2 linked regions of the Nothobranchius furzeri genome follow. The protein of the gene in region 2 binds, or shares a complex with, the protein of the main gene of each other region. Links are inferred from orthologs where the notes say so. Each region holds a gene or a part of one and is shown on either strand. Other genes may lie near its edges.

The links. Proteins that work in one complex are often made in the same cells at the same time.
Region 1: piga (region 2) and phosphatidylinositol N-acetylglucosaminyltransferase subunit Y share a complex: the UniProt entries of both Homo sapiens proteins name them as parts of the glycosylphosphatidylinositol-N-acetylglucosaminyltransferase (GPI-GnT) complex. The link is inferred for Nothobranchius furzeri from reciprocal best matches to the Homo sapiens genes PIGA and PIGY.

The regions. Positions count from the first base shown.
Region 1 is NC_091744.1:85,184,270-85,186,187, reverse strand, and holds phosphatidylinositol N-acetylglucosaminyltransferase subunit Y, read left to right. Parts: upstream 1-770; coding exon 771-983; 3' UTR 984-1,279; downstream 1,280-1,918. Other genes in the region: pyurf (protein preY, mitochondrial), read left to right, coding at 537-678; triadin, read right to left, coding at 1,519-1,653. UniProt on the Homo sapiens protein: Part of the glycosylphosphatidylinositol-N-acetylglucosaminyltransferase (GPI-GnT) complex that catalyzes the transfer of N-acetylglucosamine from UDP-N-acetylglucosamine to phosphatidylinositol and participates in the first step of GPI biosynthesis.
Region 2 is NC_091754.1:25,446,941-25,450,699, forward strand, and holds the start of piga (phosphatidylinositol N-acetylglucosaminyltransferase subunit A), read left to right. Parts: upstream 1-960; 5' UTR 961-1,091; intron 1,092-1,618; exon of another isoform or gene 1,619-1,721; 5' UTR 1,722-1,757; coding exon 1,758-2,195; intron 2,196-2,276; coding exon 2,277-2,547; intron 2,548-3,759. UniProt on the Homo sapiens protein: Catalytic subunit of the glycosylphosphatidylinositol-N-acetylglucosaminyltransferase (GPI-GnT) complex that catalyzes the transfer of N-acetylglucosamine from UDP-N-acetylglucosamine to phosphatidylinositol and participates in the first step of GPI biosynthesis.

The DNA.
Region 1 (1,918 bases), on a different chromosome or scaffold from region 2:
GAGCTGGATGAAGCTAGGAGGACCACATCATCCGCAAAAAGCAGAGACGAGATTCTCCTGCCTCCAAACTCGACACACTCCACACCACGACTGGCTCCGGCCACCTTGCGACCACAGCTAGCAACAGCCGCCTTAACAATCGCAGAGTGGAACAAGGCCCACTCGGAGTCAATGTCCCCCACTGGTCTCGGGACGCGGTCAAAGCTCTGCCGGAGGTGGGAGTTGAAGACCGTCTTGACAGGTTCTTCTGCCAGGCGTTCCCAGCAGACCCTCACTATGCGTTTGGGTCTGCCAGGTCTACGCGACATCTTCCCCTGCCATCTGATCTAACTCCCCACCAGGTGGTGATCAGTTGACAGCTCCGCTCCTCTCTTCACTCTGGTGTCCAAAACACACGGCCGCAGGTCGGATGATACGACTTCAAAGTCTATCATCGACCTGCGACCTAGGCATTCATTATTAGAAATGACTGAACCAACGCATAAAACAGTCTAATCTGTTTTCCAGATAACTGATGTTCTTTTTCTTTCCTCTAGGTATGATGCCAATACCAACGAGCTGATCAATGAGGAGCTTGGCATCGCCTATCCCATCATCGACGGCATCCCCAACATGATCCCCCAGGAGGCCAGACTCCTTCAGAAGGACACAGACGCTTCTAATCCACCTGCACAGTAACAGAAAGTCTATCAAAGACCTTCATTTGCCAGAAAACCGATTGAGCACTGCTATTTTTTTAAAGAAAAAAACTGTAAAGCTAATCTGCTAGAATGCTCTCCTTGTCCGTGATGGTGGGACTGGTCCCCATCGTGTCACTCATTGGCTTGTTCTACTCTGCAGCCGTGGATGAGAACTTCCCTCAAGGCTGCACCAGCGGCAACAGTCTGTGCTTCTACAGCCTGCTGCTGCCGGTCACCATCCCCGTCTACGTCTTCTTCCATCTCTGGAGCTGGATGGGGATCAAGCTCTTCAGACACAACTAGGATGCTCTCTGAAAACAACCCACGGCATGTTTTCTGATGCACTTTTACCTCCTTTACCAACTTCAGTAACATTATTTTCTTTATTTCATGTCTGTTAAAGTCTGCTAGACTTGGGTTTTACTTGTCTGGAAGTTTAGGCTTGCAGGTAGGACTCATAGTAACCGAGTCCGTGTAAACGCTAACTGCTACTGAACAAACTCCTGTTATAAAATGGATAAATGTAACCGATTTAACAACTGAACTTCTTGGATTTTTCCAGTTCTTGCAGAAAAGAATAAACAACTTTATTGGAATAAGTTACTTTTATTTGATAAAAACATTTTCACACAGAACAGCTATTTAATGTCTGTTTTATGAAATGTGAACGTACTTCAGGGAGGAACAATCCAGCAAACATGCCTGTACTTCAAACACAAACTATCATCTTTTCATGCAAAACAAAACAAGTTTTAAAAAAGCTCGAACTTTTAAGCCTTTGACCCAAAATGCTCCGAAACAAACAAGAACAGCTTTCATCGTACGTTCACGTCCTTCCTTAGTGACACTTTTTGCTTTTAGGGTTTCTGCCCTGAGAAAATTTGGTCAGCGGAGACTCCGGCCGAGGCGACTGCCATTCTCCTTTTGTCTTGAAGAAGAAGGGTTTGTTTAGTCTCAGCTGGACCGCTCCGACCTGGGGGGGGGGGGAGGCTCTCTGTTAAACAGTGACACTTGTAAAAAGAACCACAGTCTGATAAAAGCATGAGAGGTTTGTGATACGTAGCATATGATTCAGGGCTGTCCAACTCGGACCCTTTAGATCTACCTATTGGGCCATTCCCATCTGTACCGGGTCGGCCCGGGCCGGGTAGCATAGGTTGTTTACATATCTGGGTGGCCTGGTATTTTTCCGGGCCAACCAAGGCTCATTCTCAGCCCTCTTCTCGAGGGGGTCTGCT
Region 2 (3,759 bases):
TTCAATACTTTTCTAATAAATTCTGAGAAAACAAATCTGGTGATTAATTTCCCTTGTTTCTTACTGAAGCAAACCAACTTGTTTGGTTATCATTTTTAGTATTTTTTTGCTCATGAGCAGGCCCTTTACTATAGTGGATGATGCTAGCTGAACAATATTTGATTTCATGGCTAACCAAACACCTTTCACACTCAAATATTTTAGTCTTAAGAAGAAGAAGCAATATTTTATATTGTGCCTCTCAGGATAAAAATCAGGAGGCACTTCACAAGAGCAAAAAAAAATTTTTTTTTAAATGATTAAATATATCACAAAATGAGAAAATTTTAAAAATTGTAATTTTAAAAAATGTAAGGAAAGGGAAAGAAAATTAAGAAAGATGTAATCAGTGGATCCTGCAGAAGTGGTAAAAAACAAAGCTGAATAAGGAGAGAGTATGAAGCTCACACAAAAACACCAAAGGTCTGAACAGGTGAGTTTTCAGCTGCTGCACTTCAATACTAAATATACACCTACATACAAAGTTTACAGTAATTTATAATATTGTTATCCAAAAACAACATTCTGTTTACCAAGATTCTTGGGAATAAACACATTCCAAGGTGGTGTATGCCTAGAAAAGGTTATAGTAATCATTGTTTTGATTCTAACAAGTGAAAATATGACTGCAGCCAAAAGTGAACATTTTTGAAAGTTTATGTCCAATTATGAGCATGGACAGTGCAAAAATCAGTGGAAAACTTGCTGTTTTCCTAAACATTTGTAGCATTTTCTCTCATTTGAAAAAGTAAATTTGATTGTATATTCAACAAATATTTTGCTCTTCTTTTTTTCTTTCTTTTGTGTAGCCCCCGTTTTAATACCAACTTGATTTTTCTGTTGTTGTTAACAACGTTGTTATTTTCTAGAGCGCGCCAAAGCTTAGGGTCTGGACCGCGCATGCCTCTTGCGAGTGACGTAGGGCATCAACAGGAAGTGCGACCGGCAGCTAATCTGCTAGCAAAGAGCTACGGAGTTGACATGAATCTTCAACAAAACCAGAGTCGTTTTTGTTTTCACCGATTAGAACAAGACTGACATTTAATTTCGCGGTAAGGTGGCTGTAACTTTAAACAAGTATAGGATGCAATATTTGACTTTAAGTATAAACTATGGGTTTATTAGCTTGATAAAAACAGACGCTAGTTACCGGTAGTTATTATTCAAAATCATGTCTGAGTTACATTTACTAGTCATGACTTGTGTCGATGAGCCACGGTTCCTGTCAAGTACATGGTCCTAAACGGGAGATTCGTCAATGTGAATAAAGTGTGCTCATTTTAGAAACGGTTTCAATCCCTTTTAAACAGGCACAGACACCCTCCAGCATTAGTTTTGGTAAACTGAAGGTGTAGAAGTTGTTCAGTGTAATCATTATGAATCATTTAAATGTAATGGTACTAGCTGTTTTCATTGTTGTATTGTAGATTGCTGCTATTAAGAGTTTTGGTTTTATTAACAGAGGTTGAGAAAAGTAATAATCACAATAAGTTTTGAGAAAATTAGCTAAAATTCTTTAGGAATATAATGCTATATAGAAAAGTATTGATTAAAATGAAAAATGAATGTGACACAGTTAAATTTGAGGAAAGAGATTCATAAAATAAGTTTGACTTTCATTGTAATTAATTGTTATCTTTTGCTTTATGTGATATTATTCGGCACATCATAAATTATTTCAGCTCTGATTGATTGAAAAGCCACAGGAGGACTGCACGATGGGCCAGCGAAGGAGAGCAGGAGCAGTGAAAACTCTGTCATCTGAAAGAGACTCCGCAGATGTTGCCAGAATCTGCAACAGGAAGCACAACATCTGTATGGTGTCTGACTTTTTCTATCCAAACATGGGAGGAGTAGAAAGCCACATTTATCAGCTTTCTCAGTGTCTGATTGAAAAGGGACACAAGGTGGTAATTGCCACTCATGCCTACGGCAGGAGGAGGGGTGTGAGGTATTTAACCAATGGACTGAAGGTCTACTACCTGCCCCTGCAAGTGATGTACAGCCAGTCCACAGCCACCACCTGCGTCCACAGTCTCCCACTGCTGCGCTGTGTGTTTGTCAGGGAGCAGATCACCGTGGTACACGCACACAGTTCATTCTCTTCCATGGCCCACGATGCACTGTTCCACGCCAAAACCATGGGCCTCAACACCGTATGTGACTCTAAGCCATGTATGTCTCCCTTATTAATAACACACAGTTCAGTAATGTAAATGTTTTTCTTTTAATACCAGGTGTTTACTGACCACTCACTTTTTGGCTTTGCTGACCTCAGCTCCGTGCTGACCAACAAGCTTCTGACAATTACGCTGTGTGACACCAACCACATTGTGTGTGTTTCCTACACCAGTAAGGAGAACACGGTGCTCCGGGCTGTGCTCAACCCAGAGATCGTGTCTGTCATTCCCAATGCTGTTGACCCTACAGATTTTACTCCTGACCCGTCCCAGCGGCCAGCTGACAGGATCACAATAGTTGTCATCAGCCGGCTCGTCTACCGCAAAGGTACCCAGACCCTGTTGGGTTGGATGTTGTCATTCTTTGCTTCTTTTCTGCTTGTTTATAATGTATGTGTTGGTTTTGTTTGCATTGGAACATTGTAAAAATGTAGGCCAAATAGGCCAAATTTAGAGCATTTCACAGGTTACTCCAAAAATGTACTGAATAAAATTGACACAAGTATTTTTAAAATTGTCAAACAATATCAATCATGCGAGGCTTTTTTGAGTTTGAGTTTGCTCATCTGGAGCGCCTAACAGCTAGAATGGAAGATGGTTGACCCAGTTGTCGTGCAAACTGCACTGACAATCAAGAAAAGGAAGAACAAATATCTGGGGAGTCTTGAAAAGCATTAAAAGTTAATAAATTTATTTGAGGAAAATTAAGATCCTTAAAAAGTATTTAAATATCTTGAATCAATTTAAAAAGTCTTAAATTTAGTTAGTATTGATGTGTATTTACCATAAGGTTGTATAAAAATAGATGAAAGTAAACTAATATCATAAAATAATTATTTGTTCTTTCATGCCGGCTTTTTGCTTGCGTTTCCGTAACACGTGCCTTTACGTACCATTGCTACAGCCCTGCTATCATGGACGTGACATATCCCGCCAACTGATGAAGTGGTGCTGAATGCTGCTGTTGTGTCCTTGGGCAAGACACTTAACCCGCCTTGCCTGCTGGTGGTGGTCAGACCGTTGGCGCCAGTGCTCGACAGTCTCACCTCTGTCAGTGCGCCCAAGGGCGGCCGTGCCTACACTGTAGCTCATTACCACCAGTGTGTGAATGGGTGATTGTGTTGTGAAGCACCTTGGGGGGGTTGTAGAACCCTAAGAAGGCGTTATACAAATACAGGCTATTTACCATTTATTTGTTAGAGCCCAGCATATACCCTGTATTACCTGATGCCTTTATAATAATTAAAAAAGCATGGAAACTCCCAACATTTTAACCTCACCTCCTGGGCTCATGATGCTTTGTGATTTTTATCTTGAGAGATATAAATACAAAAGATCGTTTTCTTTCTTTCTTTATTTTCCTTTATGTAATTTGTCTGCAACACAAAGGAACAGAAAGCACACAGCTCTGTGGTTAAGCTCCCTTTCTCTGGAATAATGACTTTCAGTCAATTTCAGTTCCAGTCTACTGTTTCTGAGCCCTACTAATAAAAGTGTGGGTCATAGGGTCAGATCAAGAAAGTTGGGTTTCTCAGATATC